Cricetulus griseus: one gene and its partner. The protein of the gene in region 1 interacts with the protein of each later gene in a biochemical or structural test. Links are inferred from orthologs where the notes say so. Each region holds a gene or a part of one and is shown on either strand. Other genes may lie near its edges.

Region 1 (3,654 bases):
GCATCCTGATAGAGATCTGCAACTGGCCTATCTGACTTCTCATTGTTCTTCTGTTCTACAATTTTTGTAATTTTAGTTCCAACTTCCATATATTTAATTTTTCTCCTAGTAAAACTAGTCTTTAAGTTAAAAAGTGAATACTTACCTTTTATCAAAAGGCAGAGTCATGATTTAAAAAACAAAACCACCCCCCCCCCAAAAAAAAAAAACCAAACTCAAGGGAATTAGTGTCTCACAAACTAGCCATCTTCCTGGGCTAATTTAGGAGGCTTGACTCTCCTAAATGAGGCTGCTTATTTACCAGGTTTCCTAAATTAGCAGCTTTGGGGATATTGAGATCTGTATGGAACTGTCCAAGGAGGTATTGTGTGTGCTCCACAGCAATTGAGCCATTAAACTCTAATTGGTATTTTCCCACTCATGGTTTTGTGTGGGAAGCTTTACAATTATTTAGGAGTTCAGTGCTCATCAGCCATTTTGGTGACAGTAGAGAGCACTGAGAACAGTTCTGTGTGTGAGCTGATTATGATTTTGCTCACAATGTCCTTCCCTGTTGGTTTGTTATATTGCAGATGAAATGGAAAGGGAAGGACCTGTTTGATTTGGTGTGCCGAACACTGGGGCTTCGGGAAACCTGGTTCTTTGGACTTCAGTACACAATCAAGGACACTGTGGCCTGGCTCAAAATGGACAAGAAGGTTGGACTAGATCTCCATGAAACCCTGGGGGAGGCTTATGCTTCCTGTTTTTTTTTGTTTTGTTTTTCCCTGAGCTTGCGCTTAGCTTATTTGCTCTTTGTTGGGGTATCACAAGGGTAAAGAAGGGATCAATTTTTTTTATATAGATTAGGTCATGTATGTAGGAGGCAAATCCTACAGGCATTTCTGCTTTGCACAGACTCTCCAGACAAGCAGGGTTCACCAGGACTAAACCTTGACTAGCTTTTCTGCCCATTGTCACTGCCCTGTTTGCTTTTTGGCATTATGCCCTTCAGTTTATTGAACCACCAGTCAGGTTTTATGGATAATATTACAATTATCTTTGTATACTTAAAAAAAACACAATTTATGTCTTTGAGAGATTCTCCTAGGGCTCATGTTCATTTATTTATTTTTTAATAAGTATTTGAGAACACCAAGACCCAACTGACTTAATCATTAATGAGACCGAAGGAATAAAGAGCCTGAGATGAAGGAGCAATCCCGTTTCCTCCTCAGGATTCTCTGGGATTTCTTTTTTTTTTTTTTTTTTTTTTTTTTTGGTTTTTCGAGACAGGGTTTCTCTGTGGCTTTGGAGGCTGTCCTGGAACTAGCTCTTGTAGACCAGGCTGGTTCGAACTCACAGAGATCCGCCTGCCTCTGCCTCCCGAGTGCTGGGATTAAAGGCGTGCACCGCAACGCCCAGCCTCTTTGGGATTTCTTAAGCACATCAAATCTAGGTTTCTAGAAATTTGAAGGTGGCTTGGAAATGGCTATGGCTTAGGGAAGCTGCCATTTATGGGTTCATATATTCACACAAAGACATGTCTATCTATTTTCCTGGCCACCTAACAGTGAAAACAGCTGGAGAACGGGGCCAAAAGACCCTGGATTCCCAAAGTAACTCCATGTCTAATTCTGATCCTAAATGGTGCCCCTGTCAATTGCCCCTGAAGTTATCTAACACATAAAATGGTAACTAAAAAAGTGTCATCTTACTAGTGTTAAGTGAGATGTTCGCATTATGTTCACAACATGTATATGGTTATCTCCTTCATGCTTAAAACTTCTGTTGGTTGTCAGTTTCAATGGTCATTCCCAATGACTAGAAACGCCAAATGCCACAAAGATACAGTGCTGAAGAGGCAACTAGGATTAGACTTAATTTGAGTTCCTTGGGGACTGCCACTGGAATTTGGGCATGCATATGGAGAATTACATATCAGAGACAGCTAAGCTTTCTGTGTCTTTTTATGATTCTCAGCAAAGTGAATTTTAAATCATACCTGAATGTTAGCCAAATGGATATTAGATTGGGGGCATCGGGAGTCATAGAACCTGCTGCTCAAAGGAAATAAATTATGACACATGTTAATGGAGCCTGGTAGTATGTTTATGTCCTGAAATGAAATTCACTCTGGAGAGCAGATGGTCCAAGCTTTTCAGGGGGTTGGTGGGATTGTTACAAGATTAAAGGCAGTGGTTTTCTTACTGCACTGCAAGCATTTTGTGGCCATCTCTGAAAGATTCCAGGAACAAAGCATTGCCATGATGGCCATGTTTCACTTCTAGTATTCATAACACAGTGACAACACAAAAATCTAGTTTATTGTATTTAAGTTATATTCCAACAGAACCTAATTAGAGTGGGCAGTAGCAAAGAATAAAGTAAGATGTTACTATTTCAGGAAAAAATAAAACTTTGTAAATCCTCAGTCTTCCATAAAGGATAATGCCCAAGACCTTTGAGTTATGCATTCTAGTTTGTAACTATTCTCTGTGACTTTGAGAACACTGGTTCTGGTCACTGTTAGCTCTGGTCACCCCATGGGTTTATTGATTGGTTTGATTCAGAATTCCCTGAGTGAAGTGGATGTTATCTCCTGCTATGTATGGCTCTGTGAATGCTTCCAACTGTAGAAACACAGCCTTTGGGAAGTGGGATGGATTTTATACCTTCCCTGCAAAGCATGCTCTGATGGTAGTACATAAAGAAGAGAAGCCAGCACAGCATGTCTTTTGCTCTGAAATTCTGCAGGTGTTGGATCATGATGTTTCAAAGGAAGAACCAGTTACATTTCACTTCCTGGCCAAATTTTATCCTGAAAATGCTGAGGAGGAGCTAGTTCAAGAGATCACGCAACACTTATTTTTCTTACAGGTACGCCTACCCATGGTATCTCCCCCAGTTCTAAGAGAACTGATTTGTGTATAGTTGTAGAAGCAGCCCAGGTGAACCCCTTGGAGTTGACCACAAATGCTTCTACACTGCAGAAAATGTTCTGCCTCCAAATAGTCAGTCCTTTTGGTTCAATAATGGGAAAAAATATCTTCAGAATAGAACTTTACCCAAGTGATGAGAATTGGTGTCAGATGAAATTGCAGAGGTGTGATGAAGAATAGACAGAAGGAGTTACCCAATATATAAACCTCCATGAACATGGATCTCAGTTTCTTCTGGCTAACTTGAAAGTTCTCTGAGGTTATAAAGAAAAGCTTCAGAGGCTTGCCAAAAATTTCCTTTAAAGTTCAAGATCTCCCATCATCAAGGCAGTTCTTCTGAATGGCAGTGACTCTTGGTCTGTCCTATGCCTAAGGTGTTTCAGATAGCCTGCTCTGTGCTACTCTGGGTGTATATTGTCATTTCCTCCTTCGTTGGAGTGTAAGCCCCTTAAAGATAGGCTCACTGAATATGCAGTTGGTATTCTTTTAAGTAATTCAACTAAATTGAAGAATTACAGGTTGACCATCTAGGAGCACAACGAGGTGCTTCATTTAAGGATGGAAACCTGTTTTGTCATAGTCAGGGAGCCTCCTCAGTTTCATGACTATCTGTAGTGATTGATACTAAAGCTGCTTATGTGCCCTAAGGTGCCCCATTGTCCATGCTGTAAAAGATTGTGACAGGGCATTAAATACATTGATTTCCCAGAAGTACATCAATGATTTTTCATAC
Region 2 (3,654 bases), on another chromosome or scaffold:
CTGGAGCTGTACTGGTCACAGAAAACCTCTGGAGTCTGATTTCTTGTTTTCTTCCTGATTCTGGCTAATTCTGGACAGGAACCTTTGGCTTTCTTCTCCTTTTATCAGATTTGCAGAGAAGTGTCATAAAACAACACAAATCATGACTTTCAGTTAAAAAATCAGCACTAGTTTCCCACTGACTATAGTGCCTATGGGATAAAGTCCAAATGCCTGGCATTTAAAGCCATTTTATGGCCTGACTTCAGTTATCTTCGCAGCCATATCCCTCTAGCTTCCCTGTGGCTACCACACAGTGGCCAGCCAAATTAGACTCCTGGTCATTCTGGGAATGCATTTGCTTACTCAGAATAGAATACCCTTCCCCTCACCTCTGCCCATTGAAATCTAAATAAGCTTTCAGGATCTGACTTCAAATGCCATCTCTCCCTGAAATTATTTTCCTCCCCTCCCCCAACCAGGGAGAACTTCTATTTGCTCCCTGTTCCCTTACAGCTGTGTTTTGCTCTAAATTCTCTGACTTGAGTATATTGAAGGCAAGGATAACATGGGTGCTCTCATTCAGGTTTGGACACAGCACAGGTTAATCATGCCTTCTTAACTAGCTGGCTCTTGATTGAATACTTGTGAAAGTGAACTGAATTATACAGCACGAGGATGGCCATTTGGGTTTTTAGGCATTGAGTCTGCTGCTGATTTGTACTTGGGAAAGGCAATTTAACTGCTCTCTATGCTAACATGGGGCAAGATACATCACCTGGGCAGATGTCAGGACAAAATGAGAGAACCACACAGAAGTCCTTTGTGGGCTTCAAAATAAAGTTATTGCTATACAATATACAGCATTATTAATATTTCTGAAATTAGAAAATTGAGAAATGAAAATCATGTGATATCTATTTTATCTTACTGCCTTCCATGAAGGTAGAAATTACACTACACAACCAACTCCACCCCAACAAAAATACACACACACACAAACACACACACACACACACACACACACACACACACACACACACGGTTTGCTTTTGTCCTAAGGAAATCCCATGATGTAGTTGAATCATGTATTGAGCTCACAGTTGGTCTTGGAGAATCTTTCTTGAACCCAGTGCTTAACTGTGTTACACTTGCCTCCTGGATGATATATATATATATATAATATATATATATATATATATATATATATATATGCTCTGAAAAAAGATGCCACTGAAGTATTACTCTATGTATGGCTCTAAAGTGTCTTTCCCATTAAACTCCCAGAAGAAACACCATCTTTCTTTTTAATGTTAAGGTGGAGACAGAAATCCAGCGGGTCTCAGAGGCATATGAGAATTTGGTGAAGTCATCTTCCAAAAGAGAGGCTCTGGAGAAAGCCATGAGGAACAAGCTGGAGGGGGAGATTCGAAGGATGCATGACTTCAACAGAGATCTGAGAGGTAAGGGAAGAGTGGACTTGACTTTGTAGGGTTTTTTATTAAACAAACAGTTTGCTTGTTTTTTGAGACAAGGTCTCTCTACAGCGTTCAGGCTGGCCTAGGACTTATTGCATAGTCCATGCTGGCCTTGTACTCCAGAATTCCCATGTTTTACCTTCCCAAGTGTGTCCCTACATCTGGCTCTTGCTTTATTTAGTAGGTCTTGTAGTGTTTTGATATTCACTTTTGCAAACTCGGTCTGTGTCACCCATCCTGTTCATCAAAAATGGTGCTGACTTTTGCCAAAGGCCAGTATTTAGAAGACAAACAGCATGGGCTTAGAACTTTGTATGGAAGGACCTGTTCATTATCTTCCCATTCCACAGAGCGCCTAGAGACTGCCAACAAGCAGCTGGCTGAAAAGGAGTATGAAGGGTCAGAGGACACCAGGAAAACCATCTCTCAGCTCTTTGCCAAAAGTAAGTCTAGAAACTGCATACGCAGGTATGGATGTGAGGATGGGCAGTACAAGTCTGGAAATGTCACTTGTCTGGATGGAAGTAAAGTTTATGACGATGTTGCTTGCCTCTCTTTAGCGTTCTAGAACCAAATGAATGTCTTTTTTTCTGTTACTGCATGAAACACCAGGAAGGCTGCTGCCACAGACTCTAGTCACATCAAAGGACTGTTCTCTGTACTAAGTCAGCAAAGCCCATTGGGATCCCTGGATTGTCATGGCGAGCCGAAGGCACAACCTTAGGGCATATTGTCCTTAATAATAACGCTGAAGGGATTATTGTAGGTGATTCCATATACTGCCTCTGGTTGATGGGATGAACATGTGGGGCAATGATTAATGTTTGGAATCCCCAGCCTGTACCAGGGGTTCCCCTACTAAACACCTATTGCAGTATCCTATCATTTCACACTGACAGACTGTGACGATAACCAAACTGTGAGGATAACCAGAGGAGGAAGGGCCTCTGCTGTGACCTGAATTCATGGTTCGGCTTTCAGAGCATACAGGGCTGAGCAGGGCTGTGCTGTCCTCATAATAGTGTTTCCTTTGTCTGGAAATACTCCGAGGACTGTAACAATGAATTCATCCTCTTCTTTATCGGCCCCTAATGGACTCCACCCAGCTAGACAATGCCTAATTCTTTCCAATTGCTATAATAAAAGCAGCAATAAAAACTTCATAGTAGATTGAGTCCACTGGGAGAAGAAATTGGGTTGAGAACAGATGAACTGTCCTTGTTTCTCTGCAGATGCCTAAGGTCGGCTTTGCCCTACCCCAGCCTCCCTCAGTGCAGCTGCCATTGCAACCAATGCTTACTGGGGACTTGTCAGTCTCTTCCATTTTTGCTGGGCCTCCCAATGACCCTTTCATGTCATTCTGTGCCATTTCCAGTTAGCTTTTACAAGTCTGTTTGATCTTCATTTACAATATTCCCTTCCCTGCCTGGGTCGCTCCTGGCTTCCGAACAGTTTTTCTTCCTCTTTGCCCAGAGCCTGTCAGCCCTTTGTCAGTAGTCTAAGAGCCAGGAATGTTGTTTTTCTGGTGTCATCAGAACCTAGGGTAAATTGGGAAGTTGCTTTTGTGGTGTCACGGTTACCCTGGAAGCTCGTTCAGTGGCAGGAAGATGGTGGCAGCCTCCCAGAGTAAAAAAATATATGGATTCTTGCCCTGGATCTGCTAGTTTGTGCTCTCCATGAAGAAATGGTATTTTGGGTGCTCTCAGAGCTCTGCTGTGGGTCTATAAAACATAGTTCTTTACTAAAGCAAACTACATAACCAGCAGAGTGAAAGACCCTCAGAAATTCAAAAACTAGGTGGGGAAGAGAGCATGCCCTTTGTGCCCTTCATTTCTTTTGCATTTGGGCATCCTAAGGGCCCTGCAAGGTGGACTGTAGCAGGAAGAAAGAAAGCTCTCTTGAAAAGCCTTCCCTGGGGGTGTACTTCAGCAACCCCAGAGAGACAGAAGCAATTGAACCCAGAAGGCAGCTGGGTGTAGTAGAAAGGGCTTCAAATCAGTTGAGCGTTAAGTATGGAATCCACCCATCATTTTTCAGTTGGGGGAGCTCTTGCAAGTTAGTCATGCTTGCTTTCCAAATCCTGTTTTCTCATATGCAAAATAGAGACGTGAAGACTAATACCTCATATCCTTGTTCTGAGGATTAAGCTAGCACAATGCCTGATGTGTAGTGAGTGTTCAGTACATGTTCATTGCTT

The links. The genes of interacting proteins can lie anywhere in the genome.
Region 2: the proteins of Nf2 (region 1) and Amot form a complex in vitro, tested with the Homo sapiens proteins (2 studies listed by BioGRID and IntAct). The link is inferred for Cricetulus griseus from reciprocal best matches to the Homo sapiens genes NF2 and AMOT.

Annotation. Positions count from the first base shown.
Region 1 is NW_023276807.1:100,083,627-100,087,280, forward strand, and holds part of Nf2 (merlin), read left to right. Parts: intron 1-572; coding exon 573-698; intron 699-2,736; coding exon 2,737-2,859; intron 2,860-3,654. UniProt on the Homo sapiens protein: Probable regulator of the Hippo/SWH (Sav/Wts/Hpo) signaling pathway, a signaling pathway that plays a pivotal role in tumor suppression by restricting proliferation and promoting apoptosis.
Region 2 is NC_048604.1:35,461,087-35,464,740, forward strand, and holds part of Amot (angiomotin), read left to right. Parts: intron 1-1,297; coding exon 1,298-1,442; intron 1,443-1,807; coding exon 1,808-1,900; intron 1,901-3,654.